2 linked regions of the Kluyveromyces lactis genome follow. The protein of the gene in region 2 interacts with the protein of the main gene of each other region in a pairwise test. Links are inferred from orthologs where the notes say so. Each region holds a gene or a part of one and is shown on either strand. Other genes may lie near its edges. The genes, in order: THI4 and KLLA0_F03729g.

Region 1 (3,215 bases), on a different chromosome or scaffold from region 2:
TTTTAGACTTTATTGTTGACGAATGATATTATGGGTATGCGCTGAGGTCAAAAAAACAATGCAATACAATGAACGACATCGTAAAAAAGACCCCTTTGGTAAGTATTCTAAGGAAGAGAACCAACCGCCCAAAGCCGGTGACACTTCACAATCTCTCAAATATTAGAATTTCAAGTCACAGGCTTATGCATTTTAACTGGCAAAGTATTGTCTTCACTTAAATAACCAAAACGTGATTTATTTCTAGTTGGATGTCGAAACAGCCAACCCAAAATGTCTCAAACCGTTGGACACTCTATTGTGAATCAATGCGTGCCTTTCCCACCTAGAGTACCAAAAAATAAAAGTAATTCTTGATTCATAGAAGTTGGCATGTCAGTGCCAATTCTAAGGATAGGATAACCGAATTTGATCTGGTGGATAGTTCCAATCGCCTTTCACGTATCTATGTACTGAAAATGAAGGAAGAAAGGCTACCACATCTTAACACGAAATAAATTCAAACAACTCTTTCAATGGACCGGAAATGTAGATTTCAATTCAGAAATCTTGTACTACTGCGTCATCTATCTTGGGCTACCTGTATCTCTTTCCAACCAAGTTTACTTTTTGCACCCTAAACTGACGTTTTTTCGCCAACGATGAGCTAAAAACCTTCGTTTTCGGTTCATACCTCAAATTGCAAATAATGGCAGCCAATGAGGTCTTCTATCGACAAACGCCAGACCATACACACAGGTATATGTTAATTTACGATGCTCTCGTCAGCAATTATGTCCCTTAAGGAAATTGTGTGGGATGCAGGTAATGTTGGAAAAGAACAAAAAAAAAACTGTCGCCTGTTCTAAGAGTTACTCTGGAAAACAGTATTTTTTTTATATGCAGCGATAGAAAGGGTAGAAATTCAACTAAAGGCCAAGAGTTAATACTCACAAAAAGGACAAAATCTACTGAGCGATCAACTGATGTGTTAAAGAGAACGTTTGGGGGCATTTTTCTTTTGGAAACGAACGATTATCTTTCCCGTTTACTCTCGATTTGGTAATCAGCCAATTTTCATGGAACCTTGGCGGATATCTCTATCACTGTTAACAAGATATTCCTAACTGACGCTTATTCGTATAATAACGGAGTAAGGGTACAGACATTAAGGAAATTAGTTTTAACAGTAAAAAAAAAAAAGGCAAAGTAATATGGTATGGAATGCTAACAGGTTCATGTCCAACCAACGTTGTGGGTGACGATAAGCCTCGTGAAACCACGGTCTTTGTTCGAAGTTTAAGAGGCAGTGAGCATTCTAGTTAGAGAACTAAAATTATAAAAAGGCCCACTCTTTCAACCTTTTCCCTTTTAACCTTCTGGTATTATATTTGTGTTATATCAATGATTCTCGCTGTAGAACAGTAGCAGCTAAATTCAAAGGATACTTTACAAGTAGCAACAACAGAACAAAAATGTCTACCACCCAAACTCAAACTCAAAACAAACTATCAGTCCAATCTCAAAGTGTCGAACACTGTTTGTCTGATGTTGTCAAACAAGACGACTGGTCAGACTTTGCATTTGCTCCAATTAGGGAAGCAACTGTTTCTCGTGCAATGACCTCTCGTTATTTCAAAGATTTGGACAAGTTCGCCGTATCCGATGTTGTTATCATTGGTGCAGGTTCAAGTGGTCTATCTGCTGCATACGTCATTGCTAAGAACAGACCTGACTTGAAAATTGCCATTATTGAAGCCAACGTTGCTCCAGGTGGTGGATGTTGGTTAGGAGGTCAATTGTTCTCTGCCATGATCATGCGTAAACCAGCAGACAAATTCTTGGACGAATTGAACATTCCATATGAAGATGAGGGTCATTACGTTGTTGTTAAACACGCTGCTTTGTTCATGTCTACTGTATTGAGTGAAGTATTGAAGTTCCCTAACGTGAAGATGTTCAATGCTACTGCAGTTGAAGATCTTGTCACCAGACCAGCCGATGATAATTCTCAGCACGTCAACGTCGCTGGTGTTGTTACTAACTGGACTCTAGTCACTCAAAATCACGACACCCAATCTTGTATGGATCCAAACGTCATCGAATTGTCTGGTTACAAGGATAATGGCGAAAGGGATTTATCACAGAAGCATGGTGTTATCTTGTCTTGTTGTGGTCACGATGGTCCATTTGGTGCTTTCACTGTTAAACGTATGGCTTCCATCGATTCCTCTAAGTCCTACGCTGGTATGAAGGGTTTGGACATGAACAGAGCTGAAGACGCTGTTGTTAAGAACGCTGGTGCATACGATAAGGTTGGTTCAGTTTACTTTGCTGGTATGGAAGTTGCTGAACATGCTGGTTTGAATAGAATGGGTCCAACTTTCGGTGCTATGGCTGTTAGTGGTATCAAGGCTGCTGAAGATATCTTGAAGCACTTTGCTGCTTGATTGAATCAAGGGGATTTTTACCTCAATTTTTTACTTAGTGTCTAGTTTTATATAGCTTTTTATCGACACACTTTATGACTGCTAATGGCCTCTGAACATTTCTTCCATGAAATCACAAGGAAATGTTTAATAAATACTTCAGCATACCAATTGGGGAGCTATCAATTTTGCTGTTTCGAAGGGAATTTTTCAGACTTCTAAAGATTTTGTCGCATAATAATCAGCCAGCTACAAGTTTAATGTACCGAGTCACTCCATGGTACCTTCTATGAACAAAAACACAAAAAGCAGACGTTACTATACCGATCAGTTATTAAAAATATATCTTATACAAAGAGGAACGAATGCATAAAACCTTACTAAATAAAGTGCTTTTCATGTCAGTACTTTCCCTCAACAAGCATTTTAGTTCCGGCAGAAATATTTTGTTGAAAACTTCTACTGCATAGTAGACCGTATTGTTAATTAGTGATGAAACGAAAAAGTATCTGAGTGTTGTCATAAAACGAGAGCGCTAATAAGAAGAAAATCTTATGAAAATTGAACATGAATAACAATGTCTGGTTACTTAATTTTTAAAACGTTTGTTGTTAATGGTGGTGTAAGGGAACTTCCAAGGCCATTCATGGAATCATTGCTTACCGTTAAGCTGAACCTGTGCCGAACTTGGATCAAGATCGCAGCGTTCGGCGATTGAGAAGCTAATTCAAAATTATATAAGTAGAAGGTTTCCTCAACCAATTTCCCCATTGGATCTGACATCATATTTAGTGTTGTTCTACATTA
Region 2 (4,450 bases):
GTTATACATATCACTTGTGTAAGGTTGTGTGCAAAGTAAGATTTTGCTATTTCATGGTTTCAATATCTACATAAAAAATGGTATGTACGCAACTTGGAAGCACCTTTTAAACTTACTTCGAGATTCTTGTCTTCATGTTTTGTAAGAATTCTCTGTAGTTCCAGCTGTTTTGGACCTTATCTTCGACCAACTGAGATGCAGTCCATAATCTTAGAGAAGCAACTTCCCTGGCAGAAGGATGGTTCATTGGTTCACTTGGTGAGGCGCCTCTGACAATGTGCAAGGTTTTGTAGAAGATAACATCATCGTGTTCTCTTATCTTTGTAATAACATTCCTCACTCTTAGGTTGAACTCAGTAGCGTCTAATAGAGGTAGTTCATTTTTACCAATTGGAATTTCCATAATGTCCGGGGTTCCAAACACGTCTGTAACAAGCTCTGGGACAGCATCACCGCCAATCCATAAGAACATGTCCAATCCTGTGTCGATTAAATACAGACCGTATCTTTCCAATAAAGACGAGGTGGAGTTAATTGGTTGCGGTAGTACAATTTCACCAGTTTCTTCATCGGGAAGACCAGCTTCGTCAGGCATGTCATGTAAGGAGTATACTGTTGGATAAATGTTTTGAATCAAATATGGCAATGGTAACGTTTCAAGATTATTTAATGCTTGAGCTCTGTGATCAGCCGGAACAATACCAGAACGGAAAGCCATATGTTTAGTTAGAGAATGCATCAATAGAGGCCACATTCTTAGGTTACTACAGAGCATTAATGGAGCTCCGCCACCTGTGTTTGAAGTCAAAACTTCTTTCTTGTATGTAGCCAAAACCTCTTGGACAGATTTGTTGAAAAATTCTCTAGTGTCTTCAAAGCCAGAAGAAGGAGCTCTTTCCACAGCCTTTTGAGCGAAGTATGCTGTGATGGCCAACTGATCTGCAGAAGCATAGACTTCAGTTAGCTTATCAGTAGTTGGAATACCAATAGTTATGACTCTAATTCTTCTTTGGGCAGCATTGGATGTCAATAATAAAGCAATTTGAATGTACACAAAGTCCTTTGTTAATTGTTCATCGATACCAATTTCAAAAACGTATGATTGGTCCCTTGGAACCGTAGCCAAAGCGCACAAGTCTGAAGATCTATTGAAGAAATGACCGTAAAATCCGGTCATTTTCAAGCCTGACGAACCACGAGCTCTCATAACAGCTTCCAAAGATAGATCCATGGATACGTGTTTTGAAAATTCTTTTGAGAACTTTGTAACATCGATCAAGTTTAAGGCACTGAAACCAGGGTAGAAATGGGTTTGGCCACCAGTGAAACGGCCTAGGTTAGAGATAGATGCGATATCGACATAATCGTCGGAAGCCATAAACATATCCACCGTAACTTGATATTTGTTACATTCGATAGGGAAAGATTTGTAGAATGCGTCACCAGTGTTCAATAAAGTGGAAGCTTCCTTGGAAGTATTTGCAACAGCCTTTTCATTTCTCTTATGTAATGTACCTTCACCGACGTTGGCCAAAGTGGCACCAACAACAATAATCTTACCACCCTGAGCTCTGATCAAGTTCAAAGCAGACTTTAGAGCAGAGGCCAAGGCAAATCTTGGTTGAATATTTTGTTGGAAAATTTCTGGTAAGCTAGTCAATAATTTTTCAATGTTGCTTCTAGCCTCAATTAGTGGAACCAATAGGCCAGTGGGAGAAGGTAAGAATGGTTCATCCAAGTCAGCGACGTCGTACATCTTAATGTTGTCACCTTCTTCGTCCAAAGGAATACGGAAGTAATGTAGAGATTGATCAACACAAATAATAGAGATTCTTGTTCTCTCATCATGGTTTGGAATGGTATCCAAGCTTTCCAAGAGAGTTCTTGCAGCAGTAGCCAACAAGCCATTCTTGATTGATGCCTGAGAAACGTCCAAAATGAAAGCGTAAGTGGATGGTGGTGGTGGTCTGACAGCGTATTCTTTAGGAGCAACGAAATCCACAACAGAATGGTTGAATTCGGGTCTCTCGTAACGGTTACCATTCATATCAATTGCTTGAGGGAAGTTGTTCGCCAAGTTACAGAAGTTACATCTCCAACGTAAACCATTCTCGATTACTTGTACGAAGGGGTTCAAGTAGGCACGACAACGTCTACAACGAACCACAACACCGTCTTCGCTAGTTGGCACTGGACATTCAGAGTCGGTTAACTTAGTGTATGGTCTGATAACCATAGCTAATGGTAGTTTCGATTTTTTCAGTAAAGAATTGTTTTTTGGAACGGCGTTCAAAGTGCACCTTAAATGGTCAGAACAATTGTTAACTGTATCGTTAGGAACAATCATCTTCTCTGGAGGGAGCATCAACGGTGGTGGAGGCAAAGACAAGTCAGTGATTGGAGGAGGCAATTCTTGGAACAAATCAACTGGGTACAATTGATTCATTGGTTTACCCACAGCCATTCCTACTCCTGGTTGTTGATATTGTGGTTGCTGCTGCTGTTGTCCGTACGTTTGCCCATACGGCTGTTGCATTGGCTGCTGATACTGCTGCTGAACACCGGATATGTTATCGGCGCCGTAGCCACTGTTCATTGGCTGGCCATATTGAGGAGCCCCACCGTATGGTGGTTGTTGCACCGGGGTTCCAGCTTGCTGGAATGCAGTAGGATCAACCACAGGAACGTTGTGTAATTGCATATTACCAATGCCGTTACTTGCTTGGTCGATCTGTTGATGCAAATGTTGTTGAGCAGGAGTCAGAAATTGCGGCTGTCCAGCACCTACAGTTTGCGGAGGAACACCTCCACCAACAATTGGCTGTGCAATCCCTTCTGCAATTTGGTACTGAGCCTGAGGATAAACACGCTTCTTATGGTGTGACATGGTTCAGTATAATTTGATCTCCTGTATCACTCGATTGTCTGTAACTCTTTCTCTTTTATCTGCAAAAAATACAATGCAAAGAGCCTTCTCCTTTATAAACTTCTGATAAGTCGCCTAGATCCTGACACAGTTATTGACTCTACCAAGTTGAAGATCCAAAAGAGTAGATGCCTCAATCGATGGCAATTGAATATCAAATGTGTGTATTGTTTTTATAATTTTCGGCCCGTTTTGTTATTGTCGAAGAATCGAAATTTGGGTTTTTGGATTTTTGAAATTTTTTTTTTATTTGGTTTCCTTTCAAGATAACTGCTAAATAAACTGACGCGGTTTGAGAGGCTTTTTCCAGCGTATGTATATGGTTGCTGCTTTATTAGCCAATTGCTCAGTCGATGTTAGCTACATATATTGTATTTCTTTGATCATTGACATATGTGTATTGTATGCTGCAGTTCGTATTTGTATATTGACAGCTGTCAGATTTTAATAATAATATTCGGGTAACATCATAGTTCGTGTTCTCTCAGAATCACATAGTTAAGTAATTAATGTCGACGTGGTCATTGTAGAAGATAAAACTTTCGGGCAGATTGTGGGTCACTGATACTCCCTCCAGACACTGTACGGGCTTTAACGAACCTACCTGTGGTTATGCAGTGCTTTATTTGTTGATGGATATTTAGAGATATAAACCTTGCTATATCACGTGATATGAAAGTTCGAGGTCTGCTTATTTTATTTACAATGTGCGTAGATTTTGGATCAGATCTTTAAACAAGATGTCTCGAAGGTAAAACGATTTTAAATACGAGCAATCCATCCATTGTTCCTAGTATTCGATATCATAAGGTTCTACACTGGTAATTCAGCTAATACCTGTGACTGACACTCAAATCTGCTTCTTTTTCCCACTGGTACACCATAGAATACCCTTAATTAAATCAAGTGATGTCCCAAATCCAATTTTACAACATCAAGAACGGAGAAGAGGTTCATACACCCGCACTTATTGTCCACGGAAATATAAATACAAATGCCAATTCTGTCCAAGTGCATCATTCGCAGCTCCCTCCCTTAACGTTTCCCGTTAACAACCACGGATTCAAGTGCATTATTTCTTTGACTCCTGGTGAAAACTTACTATGGTTCACTGGAAATGACAATTCTACGGCGCAATTAACTATTCAATACGTACCATTGTTACAGAACCCGCCAATTCATCTATGTCTACTACTCGCTAAAGATTCTCCTCTGAAATATGATGCACCAGCTGTACAGATTCGTAAGGAGGGTGGTAACGGTCTCGATTTGGCCATAAAGAAATTGAGAACTGGTGCACGGATCATGCAAGCTTTCACTAATGAACAAATGGTTCGTAACGGCGTCGGTCAAAGAACTTTCCGATTCGTGGAAGAATTCACGAAGGATACCCTCCTAAAGGATGACGAGTTAAGAAACACCGTTAAGATTCATATTCTAAAAAGTGAGAAGACTACCGTGGAGCTAAGAGATATTAATATCGCACAACAGAATCCTAATGCAAAAGATGCAGGTGGCTTATTT

The links.
Region 1: the proteins of KLLA0_F03729g (region 2) and THI4 interact in a two-hybrid assay, tested with the Schizosaccharomyces pombe proteins (2 studies listed by BioGRID). The link is inferred for Kluyveromyces lactis from reciprocal best matches to the Schizosaccharomyces pombe genes sec24 and thi2.

Annotation. Positions count from the first base shown.
Region 1 is NC_006037.1:13,451-16,665, reverse strand, and holds THI4 (thiamine thiazole synthase), read left to right. Parts: upstream 1-1,454; coding exon 1,455-2,429; downstream 2,430-3,215. UniProt on the Schizosaccharomyces pombe protein: Involved in biosynthesis of the thiamine precursor thiazole. Catalyzes the conversion of NAD and glycine to adenosine diphosphate 5-(2-hydroxyethyl)-4-methylthiazole-2-carboxylic acid (ADT), an adenylated thiazole intermediate.
Region 2 is NC_006042.1:351,604-356,053, forward strand, and holds KLLA0_F03729g (uncharacterized protein), read right to left. Parts: upstream 2,888-4,450; coding exon 113-2,887; downstream 1-112. Other genes in the region: KLLA0_F03751g (putative metalloendopeptidase), read left to right, coding at 3,836-4,450. UniProt on the Schizosaccharomyces pombe protein: Component of the coat protein complex II (COPII) which promotes the formation of transport vesicles from the endoplasmic reticulum (ER).